Linked DNA regions of Kluyveromyces lactis. The protein of the gene in region 2 interacts with the protein of the main gene of each other region in a pairwise test. Links are inferred from orthologs where the notes say so. Each region holds a gene or a part of one and is shown on either strand. Other genes may lie near its edges.

Region 1 (3,393 bases), on a different chromosome or scaffold from region 2:
AGCGGTGCACTGAAACCTGATTCAGGTGATGGATACTGCATGCATTCAAACAAAGATTTGAACTCCAAGTATGAAGTCTTCCAATGGGTTGGTGAAGAATTGGAAGTGCCTGGAATAGATTCTACCGTGTGTTCTTGAGCTTTTCAACTAGAAGGTTGGTTGGTTTCCATGTCCGTTATTAATTTTGCAACATTATCGTACATGGAAGTATCTATTGCTTCAATGTCACTGAGTTCCATTGCATATTTCAAAAGTTTTGTATTTTTATTATCTAGTTCAATGTTTAATTGATTTAAATGCTGCTGCAACATATCATCAATGCTATGCAATAGTTTATTTACTTCCTCGAGAGAAATGGAGTCTTCAATTTGTTCCCGTTCGAGCTCAACTCTTATCAAAGACAGCTTGTTGTCGATGAGTTTATCTATTTTTTCAATGATCCGTTGATCATTCTCTTCATAACTTTTGTATAACTGTGACGCGATCACAGTGTTGGATTCCGGTATCGTTCTAGAAAATAGATCAACAAACTGATCCTCAGTATACAAACGTGAGACTAAAATGCCGTCTAAATGCTTGTATAATACTTCGTGGAGCATAGTAATTGAAGTAATAAGGATTTCGGGTATGTACTTTTTATTATTCCCAGCGTACGCATTACTGATTCGCGATGATCTTTGATCTTTTTCTATTTGTTGTGGAGATTTTTGGCGACTAAATAAATAATAGTCTGACGAAAAGGAAGAGTATTTGTGCAAAACCACAGATGACGGTGGTATTAATACATTAATGATACATAAATCTCCACGAATAGATGGAGAACTTTATTTTCTATACAGCTTTGTCTAATGGGCGTCTGTGAAGTTAAACTGCTTGGCCGGAAAAGAGAACACACTTATATTCTCAAAGTAGTTTCCAAGTCATCCATTCTCCTCTTGCCTCTTCTTCTGGATCTTCCGTCATCGACCTTGGCACTTTCTCTCTTTAATCTTCTCATGTTTCTCTCCTTTTCAATTTCACGCTTTTCGATTTCCCATTGTGAGAGGACTTCTACCTTAGGGAACCATGAGGCGCCAAGTGTATCTATATCTAGACGGATACCTGATGTGTAACCGAAAGCTGCCTTATTTTCTACATGGGCCAAATTCAAATTACCTTCGAGCCAATCCTTCTTTACCTTTAGCAAGGATTCATGCAACGAATGTGCAATGGCAGGAACGAACTCTCTTTGCAAGCCCAGGTCCTGTACCACCAATTCTGCGAATTGTTCTGGGCATAATGAATCGTCATTAAGGTTCCATTCAAAAGTGTCATCATAAAGCTTGGAATCGAGATTTGCAGTCAAATTTATTATCACGTGTAAATCAGGAACCTGTAAAGATGCCAATGTTTCATATTCTTGTAATTGTTCGTTAATCATAGAGATAATCTGTGTATATGGGGAATTATTTGGGTTGGAAAGCACTGGGAAATCAAGATCCTGGCACAAGATCGTAGCAAACTGTTCTGGAGTCATCGAATGGTCGTTCAAATTCCACATGAAAAAATCTGCTAACTTGTGTCCACTGAATTCAACGTTTAACCGTATTGGAACCATTATCGGGCTTTCTATATCCACTTGCTGCGGATCCTGGATAGAATCTCCAAGAAGGTCTTTATAACTGATAGCGATCCTACTTTGCACGAAAGTTTCCCTAATCCTAGGATATTTCAACAAAGCTAGCGGAGTGGCAGAATCATCCTGACTTTCAAGGTCGGGCAAGTCGTTTAGTTTGATGCGATCCAATTCTGAGCTAGGATTTGACGTTCCTGCAGTACCATCGTTTGTACCGTCTGGCCCAGTATCTGCAGCCGGCGTTCCGCCAGTGACAGCACCGGGGTCACCAGACCCGGGCGTGCCCTCACCAATGCCACCATCTTCACCGAGTCCCGCCGCTGCGGCGGCGGTGGCGGCAGCAGCCGCAGCACCTCCATCACTACCGTCTACTTGATCATAGTAGTCCCCACCCCTACGACGACCATCCGAATCGTCCACATCATCCTCCAAATCATCCTCATCGTTCTTGTCGATGAATTCATCCAAGAGATCCGTATCGAACTCAGCGTAGTTCACCTGTTTACCCCTCTTGTTTCTCGATAACTGCGCAGCAGTAAACAACGGAACATCCTCGTTCTTCACTCTATTATGGAAGTTACTCAAGTAGGCTTGCGGTACGAGCGACATATCAATACAATTTTGGGAGGCAGGTCGTAGTTGCTTTGTCTGCTGTATATCAGCACGCTTCAATGAGTAAACCGTTTGTTTGTAGTAACACTATCATAGTCTTTATTCAACCAGCCCTAAAACACGAACTTGCACTTCTATTCTTGAATTGATGGATACTTTTTCATATTCGTATACAGTGATGAGTTGATTGAACAATCTAAGTGTTACCCTGAGTAAACATTTCACTTGTCAAAAGAAAAGGAATCCAGTTTGAAAAAAATGAAAAAAAGAACACTTTCTCAGAAAAATCCGTACCGTTTTGGAACCATTTACTATGGCAAAATCGTTTTTCAAAGGGGTGGACCCATGATTTTTGAAAATAAACTTGGTTTTTCTCAAATTGTCGCAGGGCACGCCGCAGCGTGCCCTGTTTTCTGCTGTTGCCTTTCCAGTATCTATCTCATCGCACTTACAAGGAAGAAAAAAAATTTTCTTCCACCGCACATTGCATGCACTTTGAATACACGTAGATGCCATAATTCCATAGTACATACGTCTTACATATCATATATCTCATAAATATATATATATATATATTGGAACTTTTCGAATTAGAGTTTTTCATCAGCTTTTCAGTATTTTTTTTTCGTCAATTTGATTCAACGTTCCTTGTAAGAAGAAGAAGAGGAATTGATTCTTTCCTAGTTTCTTCTCTCACCAGGTTTAACTATCCATTAACGATGTCTTTCTCTGATTTCTCCAAGGTCGAAACCTTGCAAAAGTTGAACACTTTCTTGGCTGACAAGTCTTACATTGAAGGGTATGTGAAATAATTATAGTGGTGGTTTTCCAATGGCATCAAGCAGTTTTTTGAATAAGAGAATTCTTCAAAGTTTACTATTTCAATGATGAACAAATTCTTTGGTCCGTGTTTATGACGGGAAGTAAGACCCCCGGTATGAGTGACAAAGAGACAGTACCTAGACAGTACGATTCTGATTTATCTTTTTTATTGAATTCTCTTTTCAGCAAGCAAGCTTAGCTGCCATACAAAAAAATTTCATTTTTTTGTTCTTTCCATTTTACTAACTAACAATTGCATCAATATAGTACCTCTGCTACTCAAGCTGACGTCTCTGCTTTCAAGGCTTTCCAATCTACTTACCCAGAATTCTCTAGATGGTTCA
Region 2 (4,314 bases):
GACAGTGCCCTTTGGCCTCAGTTCTGCGGCACTGCATAGTCCCTTCCAGCCTGAAACTTGTTTACGCCCTATGGCATCCTCTCCGCTCGCCTGGCTTCACCCTGGCTCATCGAGGTTCACCAGTTTCACCAGTTTCTCGGAAGCTATCATCATTTGATATTGTTGAAATAACAAATGTATATTGAATTATATAGCTGTATAATGAGGTGTTATTAGTGATTGGAGCATAGTAGCAAGGCACAAGAAACCAGATCGAATACAATGGCTAAGCAATCTCTAGGTATGTGGCACAAGGTCTGATAAAATAAAGGGTGGAAATTGGAAACAAAGTGTGATGTTATTACAATATTTCTTTATGACGATTTAAAAGTGGATTTGATTAAGCTATAGTAAAGCAACAAGAACTATGAACGTATATGAACAATAATACTATTTCACGGCAACGGGATATAATTTTTATCGCTAGAAATTTAGATGTTTCTTTGGTACACTTAATTTTGTTGTGATGTCTAAGTTGACTCTAGAAAGGATTATCGAGAAGTACAGAACAAGGAATGATAAATACGCAAGATCCTAAGCAGCGGAATTAAACGGAACGAAATGTTGATGACTCCATGTGACTATTGATGGGTATTGGAGGGATGTTTATATGAGGGAATTCGGAAAATGAATATAGTACTCCAGGGGTTTGAGCTTTAGAGAACACGTCCTGTGGGCTCACCAACAAGTCGTACAGATTTCAACATTCAAACTGGAAAATAACACTCAAGGGCACACTTTTTCCTATTAACCCATTTCCTTTAAAAAGTGTTCTATTTTTTTACTAACATTTCTCTTATAACGATTGTATGATGATATTCCGTCGTACAAGTACGTTTCACGTTTTTCTTCACAGACGTTTCCTCTGACAGAAGAAAGGCCAGAAAGGCTTACTTCACTGCCCCATCCTCTGAACGTCGTGTGTTGTTGTCCGCTCCTTTGTCCAAAGAATTGAGAGAACAATACAACATCAAGGCTTTGCCAATCAGAAAGGAAGACGAAGTCTTGGTTGTTCGTGGTTCCAAGAAGGGTCAAGAAGGTAAGGTTTCCTCTGTCTACAGATTGAAGTTCGCTGTCCAAGTTGACAAGTTGACCAAGGAAAAGTCTAACGGTGCTTCCGTCCCAACCAACATCCACCCATCCAAGGTCGTCATCACCAAGTTGCACTTGGACAAGGACAGAAAGGCCTTGATCCAAAGAAAGGGTGGTAAATTGGAATAAACTGGTTGTTAAGATTTTCATATATCAAATATTATCTTCTATAATCATGTTCACTAGTCTTATATAAGTGTAATCCTCACATTTTTGAAATTAAATACACAAAACGGGTATTTTCCGTATATATCGACCAATTGGACAATCATTCATTGATTAAACCCACTCGCTCTTCTTCTTCTTCTTCTTCTTCTTCTTCTTCTTCTTCTTCTTCTTCTTCCTCCGCTTTTTCCCATTCTTTCACTAAGTCTACCCTTTGATAAGTCCATAGAAACATGATTTTTAGGAAATCGAAAATTTCAGCGGAGTCAGTCAGTATAGCTATTAGTTTTGAGTAAACATATCAGGTAAAGAACCTGGAGAAACCGGACACCAGACGTAGTGAATAAAGCTGGTAGCTGGTGATTACATTGATCTATAAGGGCAACTGCTGGTATATTGCAAAGTCATTTTTGTACCAAGTTTGAAACTGTTTCTCAAAGTAAAGATTGCATTAATAAACAATGTCAGCGATTGTATCTGATGACGATGAATTGATAAATGGATTAGGGTCCGAGGTAGTAATCACAAAGCCGGTTCCTGGAAACCACATGGCAAGGACCAGGAAAAGATGGTCTAGTGGCTCTACAGAAAAAAGGCCTAAGGTTATTAATAAACTCATCGATGGGGTTCATACTGATGTTGCTAAGGATTATATTTCCCCGGGCCAATTATATTCGACAGAATCAGGACGTTTGTTCCATGCCGGTAAGATACTTATTGTGTTAGTAGGCCTCCCAGCTACCTCCAAAACGTTGTTGTCGGTTGCTATTACTAGATATACTAGATGGTTAGGGGTTCGTACAAGGTCTTTCCATGTCTCGGAGTATAGAAGAGAGAAGATTAGAGCTGAAAAGGGGGAGGTACCCGATGATTACTTCTCCGCAAAACCGACCTCCAAGGAAGGAATTCAGTACAGGAAAGAGATATTAAGTAAGATGATTCAAGATATGACTGAATTTTTCGACGAGAAGAAGGGCCAGTTGGCTGTTTATGATGCTCTGAATATTTTGAAAGATGATAGGTCATCTATAGAACAAGCTTTTGGTAAGTTACACATCAAAGTTCTATTTATCGAATCAGTGGTGACAGACCCAGTCTTACAAAAGAGGAACGTCGATTTGGCTATAAAATCCGAAGACTATAAAGGGTGGGTCCTTAAGAGGGCTGAAGAAGATTATATGGAAAGACTCCAAGCCAATAAATATTTGTATCAAGAAATGAGCCCAGAAGAAAAGTTGAGCTACGTTAAGTATATCAACTTCGGTGAGAAGTTGACCGTGAACAATAATAACTATGGCTATTTGATTAACAAGATTGTCTTCTTCTTAATGAACCTTCGTGATAAGAGAGGCTGTGTCTATTTCGCTCGTTGTGGAACAAGTGTTAAAGATAAGTACATCGACGATGAAGAGTTAAACGGAGAAGGCTTGGAATATTCCAGAATATTGACAGACCTTGTATTGGACTTGGTCAACAGAAGAAGACTTAACGCTAATGATGACGGAGCAGACGTTCCAAGGACACCGTCTCTGGTCTCCCTAAATGAAAGATCAAAATCACCGTTGATTGCTACGAGTGCATCATTGAAACGGACTGAATCAACTGGTAACGCTATGTATAGGCAACCTGCTAGTGGGGATGGTGTTGATGACGACTCCTTCGTGGTGTGGACGGCACCAAGGAAGAGAACGTACGATACGGCAAAATACTTTGCTGATCTGGGCATTACTGTAAGGCAGAGAAATCAATTGCAACAACTACATCCAGGTGTTGTTGCTGACATGACTGATGAAGAAATCAGAGAAAAGTTCCCAAGCGAATATGAAGAATACTTAAGGGATCCATACCATTTCAGATTTTCAAGAGCTGAATCATATCATGATCTTGCTGTGAGAATGGAGCCACTTCTACTTGAGATGGAAAGAATGTGCGGTGATATTCTTATCATTGGTCATGAATCTACTTTAAGGGTGTTATACGGTTATTTGATGGCTTTTTCCTGTTCTGAGATACCAAGACTAACGTTCACCCGTGATGAATTGATTGAAATCTCATTCGGACCATTCGAAAATAAAGTGAACAGGATTCCAATTGTGATGGATTAATTAAGGTTTATATTATGTTCATATAAATAGGTATATCAATTATATTAAAATAATGCAAGATCATAGCGGAATACTTGTGACTCCTAGTAAAGCAAATAAACTGGTGTTAATTGTTAACATTCTATCTGTGGTTTCCTTCCAATTTGTCAATCGCTTTTCGCTTTGATGCTTAGTTGTCTTCTCTGTAAATAGGCGTTGTACTCATCTTTCAAACTAAAAGGAGCCTGGAAGCATGAATCCTTGATCAAAAACCATTGTACAATCCTCCAAGATAAGAACCAGTCTACTAGCCCAATGTATCTGACTATGGTAGAGGCTAAGAAGTGGCATGTTCCTAATAAAGCGCCAATTGAAACACCCACTAAAACTTGTTTCAGAGTGTGATAGCCTAAATAGACGCGTGATACTACTACACCGCTAGAGGCAAGTAACAAACCAAAACTTGCTAGAATTTTATGTGATTTATTCAAGCCACCCCATTGGCACCAGATACGGAGGCCTATATACATGGTGAAGAATCCCATAAACTGGGAATGAGCACTTGGCATACCATAACCTGATCTCACAGAATCCTTTTGAAAAGAACCAAAATCAATTGGCCTCGTTTCCTTGATGATGTTTTTGATGATGTTATTGGCAATGTCATTCACTACATGCCCTCCCGCTAATATAACAGCTTCGATCTCACGAGTAATAATGAACCAGGAGAAGTAAAACACTAATATGCCAACAGGCAGAAGTGAAAGATAACAACAGATGAACGAAAATAGATCATTCGGGTCATATAAAATATAAGTATCATCAAACGGGATCTTTGAATGAATAGCGGTCAAATTCGACATGATTGCCGCTAGTTATGACCGTAATCGTCGATGTTTCCTAACTCCTTCTCTTGCGTCTTTGATCCGTCGTT
Region 3 (3,433 bases), on a different chromosome or scaffold from region 2:
GAGATGGCAAAGATGGCGGAGGAAAAGTTAGCTGTAGATGAACTAGCATACAACGAAAAAATAAAGGAACAAGAAAGACAAAGGGAGGAAAAAAAGAATTCCAGTCTTTCACAAAAAAACACATCATCTTCATCTTCCATAACTTCAAATTCTTCCTCATTAAACGTTTCTCCAAATATTTTATCGCCTTTAAGACTGAGCCGGACATCTTCAGTTTCGCGGTCAGAAGAATCAAGGTCCCCATCATCACCAATACCTTTCACTGATGCGAAGTCTAATATATCGGCTAAAAAGACCAGATCAGTCAGAACAAGAAACAGATCGTCATCATTGCAATCAGTATCAAGTCTTGAAGATACTTCCACTGCTCGGAATGGTATGAGATCCAATTCTCTTCAATCAGGTTCTCTGAATACACAAAGAATTGTACAGAATGCATATTCAAAAGCATTACTCTCGTTAAATGAGAAAAGAGGCCCAAGACTAACACCAACAAAGCTGAATAATTCTATAAGATCAAAATCACCTTCTCCAACTGTGTCACGGCAGAATTCCGTAAAACAGAGGAACAAAGTGAACATATTGAAGCTAAATGAAGTAGACGAAGATGACATCAATGAGAAATTCCACGATCTGAAGCTGGACGATGATACTCTAATCGTCTCTCAGGAAGTGTTATCTCCAGAAGGTAGTGAAACTCCTAAGATCATAGTTTCTGTTGCCGATGACAATCAGTCGTCTTCAAACAACGACAGCGAAGTTGAAGGTATTGTGAAAAAGGTGAGATTTATAGGGGTTCCGCCTATGTCACAAGATGAAAACCCTGAGCCTAAAAGACGCGGATGGTACAAGAAGCCTGCCGTGTTGCATTATCCACCTCCACCTGCACAGCACTCACTTCAAAAATTCAGAACAACTCAAGAGGGTCTTGCATTTCGCACAAGTTTGATCTCCAGAGACCAAGGTTCTGATAAAAAGTTCGGTTTTGACAGCATGTACTCATCAGGTCAAGGGGCGGATACTAAAATAGTGGGTAAAATCAAGGATAAACTGTTTAAATAGAAAGAATCTTTTAATTTCTATTTGCAGTGAACTTATTTCCATTATAATATCAACTTTTAACAATGTATTTGAAATTTAGAGAAAATATTTAACTATTGAACATTCCCATAATTTATAAAGTAAAGTAGGTAAGGCTTGAAACATAGGAACAAACCTGTTATAACACCACTAGAACGGTCTGACATGTCATTCAGGACACTCAGCTCATTGCTACCGAGTCCGCAAAACTCAGAAGTCTCCGAGTCTTCAGCATTTTCTAGACAATCTAAGGAAAACATAAAGGATACAATAATATTAGACAAGCTACGACCGGAGAATCTACCAGTGGCCTCAATATCTGACTTTGTACCTCTTAGACAACGTGATATATCACTAGAGGCACCGTTCCCATCGACATCACAGATTAATCAAACATATGTAAAGACTAAGGCGTTTCTAGACTCGCTGCTAACGAAAAAGAGCTCTCTACAATTATCGTCTATTGCGAACAAGGACATCGTAAAAAGAGAAGCAATAAGCTCTGTAAAATCTGGTACTCAACGTTCAGTTAAAGTAATAGAACATAAGAAGGATCCTTTACAACCGGTAACACACAGGAAAAGGAAGGTCGTTGTACCATCGGAAGAAATTCAGGCGCCTATACTTCATAAGTCGGATGACCCTAGTATTAAACCTACAAAGGAAGAGCTTGATAAATGGAGAATTCCATCCGCCATTTCGAACTGGAAGAATCCTAACGGATTTGCTATTTCTTTGGATAATAGAGTTGCTATTGAATCAATAAAGACGGACTGCCCAGATAATGATAAGAAGGACAATTTCCTTCTGCTATCTGAGGCACTAGACGAAGCAGAAAGAGAAGCAAGACAGAGAATCAACATTAAGCAAGAGGCGTACAAGGAGTTAGAGAAGGAAGAAACTTTAAAAAAAGAACAAAGGTTACGTCACTTAGCTGAACGTGCTAGACAGGATAGGGAAAATAGGCGACAGTACGAAAATGAAGATCATTATGTTAGGGAAATGGAGCGTAATCAACGTAGGAGAGCAGAACGCGAATTGGAACGGTCGAATAAAATGAGCACAGCAGAAAAGTTAAGACGATTGGCGTACCAACAAGGAAGAGATGTTTCTGATAAAGTTGTTTTAAATGCTGCAAAAGCCACCGAGACCCCAGATCTTCAGTACGATTCCCGCTTGTTCAAGAAAGCGGCATCATCTGTGGCATCATCTTCAAATCAAATTTTCGACCATCCATTGTTCAATAATAGCCAGATTGACAACATTTACAGGCCAACTACTGGTTCTAACTTAGAAAACGAAGATATTGTTGATCGACTCTCAAATAAGAAAGGAAGAACTGGACCGGTAGAGTTCTCCGCTGCTGATGATGGCAAAAATGCGGAACAGAATGAGGAAGATAACGAGCATGCCAGAGAATACGGTCTTCAAGTGCGTAAGAAGCCTCATACTTCTTAATTGTGCGATACCGATATACTGATATAATTGTATGTAATAATATTCAAGCACTACTAATTGAATGAAATCAGCGAATCAGTCATTATTTTCATCGTCAGTGATTGAAGAAAACTCATCATTCCTATCATCTGTCAGAAGTATTCGGTTCAAACGGTGACTTCTTCTGATAGCAAATAACTCAACTTTTTTAATAGTTCCGCTAACTTTTATTGGATTCATTATGATGGGCCCAACAGATTCAATCTGGTTCATCAAAGCAAGTGCCATTATTACGTACTGATGGTCATCATGGCCACATCGTATTATACCGGTTGATGTTCTATTCGAAAAGTATTTGATCTGTAACAAAGCCGTAGCCTTTCCCAAGCCATAGTCCCCGAAATTCACCTGTAATTGTTTTCGTAGTTCCTGCAAAATATTTCTCGGACTGATAGTATTTGGTGATACTTTGTGATGCGTGGTTAAAATGTCCTTCTTGGTTATATCTGGCACTGTTTCGTACTCATCATCTACATCTGGATATAGTACTTCGAAAAGAATGTATCTGCTCTTTAAACGAACCATTGGATTTCTTCTATTTTGCCTATTATGACAGCAAGTTTTATTAATAGTAGGATGAAACCCCCGAATAAACGTTGTTGCACAACCGTCCTTTATCAAAATCTTGATTCCTTCACAGTTGATCTCCATCATAACTCTAAATCTTGTAATGTGAAGCATCTCTCTTTTTTTTTTTTTTTTTTTTTTTTTTGGTTTGTCGCATTCAAGTCACAGAAGAAGAACGAGAATACGCCAAGCATGTCCAATATTTTATGCATTATTGCCGCATCACCAACCTTAACTAACAGATTGTGTAAATATCAGATAATTCATTCTCTATATAACAAAAGGCGTA
Region 4 (3,030 bases), on a different chromosome or scaffold from region 2:
TATTTCTGAATTTTCAGAGTGATCGATTGATTCCTCGGCAAATTCGGTCTCATTAGATAATGTGTCGTCAGCGTAGCCCTTTTCGGTGTTCTTCGGCTGTTCTTCTTCCACTTGGTCGGGTTTTTCCAGGGAACCCTTCTGAGGAGTTTGCTCTTCATTAATATCCTTGAGTGCTCTGCTTTCTGGCAACGCCTCAATGGTGGAGGCTTTAGAATGTGCATTTTCTTCTGTGGACAATGTTTGTAGACCCAATTCCTGTGGACCCTTGTATTCAATCGATGTTTCAGAGTCCGGACTTATTTTGGTTATAGGAATTTCGTCTTCATCCATGGCATGTTCAGGGGCCTCAGTGATAATTCTCAATTTCTTTTGGTCGTCCTCCTGCTCCAAATTTTCTACAAAATTTTTGGATGCAGCTGTGTCAATGATATCATTGGTACCGATACCTTTTCCAGCTTCATCATTTGATGCCACGGACTCCAATTCTTGATTCTGTTTCGCCTCGCGTATAGATTCATCATTGATTATGGCTGCACGTGACTCATACTCACCTATTTGGCTAGACGTTGAAGTTTCAATAGCTCCCTTCAGATTTATTTCAGATGTATGTTCGTCTTTGATATCTCTCTCCTCATCTGATAATTCTTGGAGTTCTTTAATATCAGAAGAATCGGTTTGGATTTTAGAGAAAAATTGATCACGTGTTTTGACTGGAACGCTGTTAGTCTCTGTGATATCAGGAATTTGGCTGGTGGGTTCAATGTTCGTTTCGCAAAGCTCTTGCTCCGTTTCAGGTTGGGATTCTGTGAGTCCTTGTTCTTGTTCATCTGGTTCTTCTAGTTGATTTTCTTGGGTGATGTTTTCTCTAACATGATTAGTAGACTCACTTGAAGCCTTAGTTTCTATGGGGGGCTGCAGGATGCCTCGCCGTATGCTCCTCGTGAGATTCACGAATCACATGAGGTGCATTTTCCACATAGCGTTGGGAAATAGAATAGCTTGTGGTCGAATAAATATCTTGGGCTTGCACGCCCGTGTCATCTGAAACACTTTTGTGATCAGCATGATCTCTTTGTAATGAACGAGATAATGAACGCAAGTAGTCGTTTTGGAATCTTTTAGAGGTTGATCTTCCGCTTCTACCATTGGAAGCAGAATTTTCGAGATCATCTACTGATTGTTGGTATGAATCACCACGAGCTAAGTGTGGCCTTTCAGAGTTATCATTAATGATCTCACCATACGAGTTCCTTATCACTGAATGGCTGGAGTCTGACGTAACACTAGCTCGTTTCTCGGTTTTGTTTGTCGATCTGGCCCTTGACTTACCTCCGTCAGTTAAATCGCCAGCGGTAGGAGCAACAATGTTATCGTCAATTGGGTCAGTGCTGGTCACAAGGGAATCTACGGTACCTGAATGCACTGGCGAAATTGAGTAACTGAAATCTTGCGATAAGGAGCCACTCGAAGAAGACTTCTTTGTCTTTTTTTTGTTCTTAATCTTTTTCTTATTCTCCAAAGATGATTTCAATTCACTAATGTCATCCAATCCTTTGGCAATTATGTCATCTAAATCTACATCCTGATCATCGGTCAAAAGTGCGCCTTCCTTATTCAATTCTGCAACAGAAGTGTATTGGTCACTATCGTCAGGAGAAGAGTTTTTCAAATTCAATCTCCTCACAGATTCATTCAGTTGGCTGAAATCAGGCATTTTTTCTGGAACGAAGTCCGGATTCTCACTATCATCAATATCACGGACAGAATGACCCACTAAACTCGGTTGTTCGCTCATAATCCCTGATTTAAAAGGATGGTCTAATATTTGCGAGATAATTCGTTAAAAAAACGGAAATGACTGCAGAGATTTACTGATCTCAGAAGATATATTCCAGATCAATTGTACTTTATCAACGACACCAATGAAGAATTTACAATATAGTGAAGACGTATATATATATAGCCAGTATGACTTATTGGAACAAAAGTCCCACTTTCTTGAAATATGAGGCAATCGATGAAAACCTACTAAATTTTACCCTAATAGAGTTTTCCGGGTAATATGCCTATTTAATCTTCAGTCCCGTTTAAGATTGCTAGTAGCCACCGGACAGAGAGCATTTAAGTTCTATCAGGAGATCATAACAGGGAAGAAAGGATAAAGGATTTATAGGATTATAGTCGGTTATCATACACCACATGTGTATATGTGCGCGTCGGAGATCAGATAATGTTTCTTGATATGCTCACATACAAACAAGCTTGTTTATTCTTTTGCTTAGATAAGATATGGATTTTTGGTTCAGAAAAGGCCCCGTTCAAAACACTTTTGTATACAGTCCATTATCTACAAGTATCGCACCGGAAATTCCTTTGTTTACAATATAGTATGTTTAATTTTAGATAAACGATGTAGAAAGAGTGAGATTGGAATAAATTGCATTTGTGGAAATATGTGTAACGTAGCAGTGCCGGAATGCTTAAAGTGCTCCTAGCGCGGCTCAACTTGCTTTGAATGGTTTACGACAATTTACAAGTTATCAAGAGAAAGGGGGGATAAAAAGAATGCATCGGCCGGGAATCGAACCCGGGGCCCAACGATGGCAACGTTGGATTTTACCACTAAACCACCGATGCTTAGTAGTTTTTGATGTGTTAATGTAAATTTCATCAACCTTAATGAGCTAATAAATATCACATGAAGCAAAGTTTAATTGAACTAGATATAGTTGAAGCTGAAATTGTTACACTATAAACACAAAATAGTCAAAAGTGAAGGTTATTGAGAGGGGATTATTAGGATGTTGTTCTAGTCAAACATTGTTCCACATAGCGTTTTGACAAGATTACGGCATTCTTACGTTCATGCGGTTCCTACATCTGAGAAAGAATTATTCCGTACATGTTCTGGATGACTTCTCTGGTTAAAGTCAGATTTTGAACAGAAATTTTTTTGGCTCTATCGGCCGTTCCTGCAAAAGCGAATTCCAGTATACGCACGATCTAAGTAGTTGTGCCGATGTTCGAAGT
Region 5 (2,750 bases), on a different chromosome or scaffold from region 2:
AACGGCTTTCTGCCTTGATGTTCTTGTTTTTACGATTCAATCTCTCTTAGATTGTTAGTTTTTGTTCAAGAAAAAAGATTGTAGGTTAACTGTCATTCATGATATTCTGTCCTACTGCAACTTGTTTGAATCAATGGACATTCCAAGTTATATGGTTAGACTTTGAGCAATATTCGCAGAGTAGTTTGATTTTAATCAGAGTCCTGGGCTATTGGTGGGGTGTAATATCAAAAATCTTTATAATTTCTGCCAGATGCCTGGAAGAAACGTTACACTAACAGAGTCGGTTTAATTCAAAAATGTACTTTGGTCATCCTTTTCTTCGGTGGTTCAACCAATGAACGAATGACTTGCCTTGATTCTTGAAACCTATGCATGAAAGAGCTTCTGGTGAGAGCATTAGCGAGGGTTCGGCTTTCGATCTGGTCCAAGTGAATAGCTTCTGACTTTGTCTTGATGATACACCCAGAAACGATACTGGCTTTTGTATGTACGACTGGCAAGGCGGGTTAGAGTGGGGTGTTTTAGTTGCCAAATCCCAGGTTGTGAGGGGGGGGTCTCCGTCTGCCCCTCCACCGGTTTGCGAAAACGGTCACCTGGCATGAACCGGAAACAAGTGCTGTTTGGAAACATATGAGAAACATATGAGAAACACCAGTTAGTCACGTGGTTATATAACTTCACAAAGCAGTTCTCTCCGTTTCCTTCTGACGTATGAGGTGATGAGCCGAAAGCTAGTACACGACTCTTTTTCAGAAATACGGATCTATTACTATTTACTGGTTTGACAATACCGGGCGACAGCCACTTCTTCTGTTTAGAAATCATTTCACACGTACTGATCGTCGGTTGATTTGTAAAAAAGTTCCAATGCTGCCTGCCGATAATTTGGAAACAAGTACGGTACGGAAACAAACGGGAAACAAATAGGAAACACATATATATTATCACGTGATGACGTTAGAATTTTTCCATCTCGACTATTTCAATCGTGGTATTCTGTTAGTGACCGTTTTGCAAGTGAATATACATGCGATGAGATGCTTCCAAGTTGACGTTGGCTAGTGCCATATCAGCATATATTTACTTGAGTTTGTTTCCCATCGTTATATTAAACTAATACCCACAGAAGAGAGGTCTATTAATGAGTGTGCAAGATAGAAGAAGAATATTAGGGCCAGCAGAAGCGAAGCCATTGCAGTTTGCTGCAATTACTCCTGTAAGAACCGTAGAGAACAGGGACGATGGTAATGGTAATAAATCGGGTAAGGAATCTGTGTTCATTAGTACGGATTTAGTAACGAATGCAAATGGTTCCTCATACCTAGAATATATGGATGGTACTTCGGATCAAGTTCTCGTAATGAGTTCTGTCTTCGGACCCAGGCCATTGCGAGGCTCCTTCCAATCTAAGGCATCAGTATCGATTCAGTTCAAAGAAGTTACGTTAGAACATTTGAATACCGGAGAAATTAAAGAAATTTGTACTTTCCTAACAAATGTCTTTAATGCGGTGATAAACGTTGAGAAGTATCCAAAATCTGGTATTGATATCTTTATAGATTTGATCCAGCATTCTAATAGTAATCCAACAGAGGAGGCAAATATCGTTAATATTCTACCCACATGCATTAATTCTATTACCATGGCTCTTGTAGACGCAGGTATTGAAATCATTGATTTAGTGAGTGCCGGGTCAAAAGATAACTCTGTGGTTGCGTTTATTAGGAATGGACATGAAATCGTCGGTATTTGGAGCGATGACGATAACGTCACTGACATATCAAAATTAATAGAAGAGTGCAAGGCAAAATATTTGGTAAATAAGCAGACTTTGGTTCAATATCTTAAATGAAATGAAATGGTTAACGTAATTTCATAGTGATTCATAATTAATGTGACACGAACGCTTCTTCTGTATTAGCAAAATAAAAATATACAAGGCTTTACCATTAAGGGTGAGGATTCGTTAGAAACATATCCTATTTATACATGGGTTGATACTTTAGATATAGTTAAGTACAATAGAATGCGATTTATTCCAAGTTATCTAACACTTGCTTGATTTGCCATACTTTTTTGGTGATAATATCGATATCAAAATTGGTACGTTTCATGTAAACAACGGAAACATCGGTGTCCATAGTAGACTTATACCAGTTTTGTAATGTTTTCCCAGTGAAATATTTGTTCCTATTCAAATCAAATTTATTATCATTGATTAGAACACCACATTGTTTCAAGAACTGCTTCGTGGTAGCAATTAATTGGTCCACGTCTTTTACAGTTTCTTTAAATTGAGGGAATAATAACTTGAAAGGTTTCGAGATCATAACAACATCGTGACTGTTAGCACTGTGGTATCTAAATTCATAAATACCTTCTTCAAAGCAAAGGATACTCTTATCGAATTTTATAGATCCATAAGTGAAATGGTCATTTGAATCGAAATGCAAAATCTTCTGATGATCTTCAGAATATGAAGAGCTCGAAGATACCGCCGACCAATGTCCTTGAGATGGTATCTTTGTAGTTAATCTATCTTCACCAGTTTCAACGACTTTGTAAAGTCCAATCCAGTCATCTTTGTGGAAAGCTTCATTGGTAACGGCCCATTTGATTTCGATTTCTTCTGGAATCCGAATCGTATTTTCGTCATTGATGTTGACGATATCCAAGTTAAAGTGGCCGGTGCCTTGCAAATTTTTCACCGTTTGCTCTCTAATCAAAAGCATATTGATAATCGATTC

What was found. The genes of interacting proteins can lie anywhere in the genome.
Region 1: the proteins of KLLA0_B05709g (region 2) and SFH1 interact in a two-hybrid assay, tested with the Saccharomyces cerevisiae proteins (2 studies listed by BioGRID). The link is inferred for Kluyveromyces lactis from reciprocal best matches to the Saccharomyces cerevisiae genes YLR345W and SFH1.
Region 3: the proteins of KLLA0_B05709g (region 2) and PRP45 interact in binary tests that used the Saccharomyces cerevisiae proteins (3 or more experiments, as listed by UniProt). The link is inferred for Kluyveromyces lactis from reciprocal best matches to the Saccharomyces cerevisiae genes YLR345W and PRP45.
Region 4: the proteins of KLLA0_B05709g (region 2) and KLLA0_F23078g interact in a two-hybrid assay, tested with the Saccharomyces cerevisiae proteins (2 studies listed by BioGRID, with this or other methods). The link is inferred for Kluyveromyces lactis from reciprocal best matches to the Saccharomyces cerevisiae genes YLR345W and YLR257W.
Region 5: the proteins of KLLA0_B05709g (region 2) and MTR3 interact in a two-hybrid assay, tested with the Saccharomyces cerevisiae proteins (3 studies listed by BioGRID). The link is inferred for Kluyveromyces lactis from reciprocal best matches to the Saccharomyces cerevisiae genes YLR345W and MTR3.

What each region holds. Positions count from the first base shown.
Region 1 is NC_006039.1:1,628,582-1,631,974, forward strand, and holds SFH1 (Sfh1p), read right to left. Parts: upstream 2,225-3,393; coding exon 896-2,224; downstream 1-895. Other genes in the region: TAD3 (Tad3p), read left to right, coding at 1-138; NKP2 (Nkp2p), read right to left, coding at 144-599; EFB1 (translation elongation factor 1 subunit beta), read left to right, coding at 2,947-3,026, 3,317-3,393. UniProt on the Saccharomyces cerevisiae protein: Component of the chromatin structure-remodeling complex (RSC), which is involved in transcription regulation and nucleosome positioning. RSC is responsible for the transfer of a histone octamer from a nucleosome core particle to naked DNA.
Region 2 is NC_006038.1:513,508-517,821, reverse strand, and holds KLLA0_B05709g (bifunctional fructose-2,6-bisphosphate 2-phosphatase/6-phosphofructo-2-kinase), read left to right. Parts: upstream 1-1,757; coding exon 1,758-3,401; downstream 3,402-4,314. Other genes in the region: KLLA0_B05742g (60S ribosomal protein uL24), read left to right, coding at 262-280, 896-1,260; CAX4 (dolichyldiphosphatase), read right to left, coding at 3,548-4,243. UniProt on the Saccharomyces cerevisiae protein: Synthesis and degradation of fructose 2,6-bisphosphate.
Region 3 is NC_006042.1:223,854-227,286, reverse strand, and holds PRP45 (mRNA splicing protein PRP45), read left to right. Parts: upstream 1-1,245; coding exon 1,246-2,538; downstream 2,539-3,433. Other genes in the region: protein phosphatase regulator GIP4, read left to right, coding at 1-1,062; RNA-binding protein POP5, read right to left, coding at 2,614-3,258. UniProt on the Saccharomyces cerevisiae protein: Involved in pre-mRNA splicing. Associated with the spliceosome throughout the splicing reactions, until after the second catalytic step.
Region 4 is NC_006042.1:2,142,383-2,145,412, reverse strand, and holds KLLA0_F23078g (uncharacterized protein), read right to left. Parts: upstream 1,796-3,030; coding exon 896-1,795; downstream 1-895. Other genes in the region: AIP5 (Aip5p), read right to left, coding at 1-330.
Region 5 is NC_006042.1:1,688,292-1,691,041, reverse strand, and holds MTR3 (exosome non-catalytic core subunit MTR3), read left to right. Parts: upstream 1-1,144; coding exon 1,145-1,855; downstream 1,856-2,750. Other genes in the region: CHO2 (phosphatidylethanolamine N-methyltransferase), read right to left, coding at 2,037-2,750.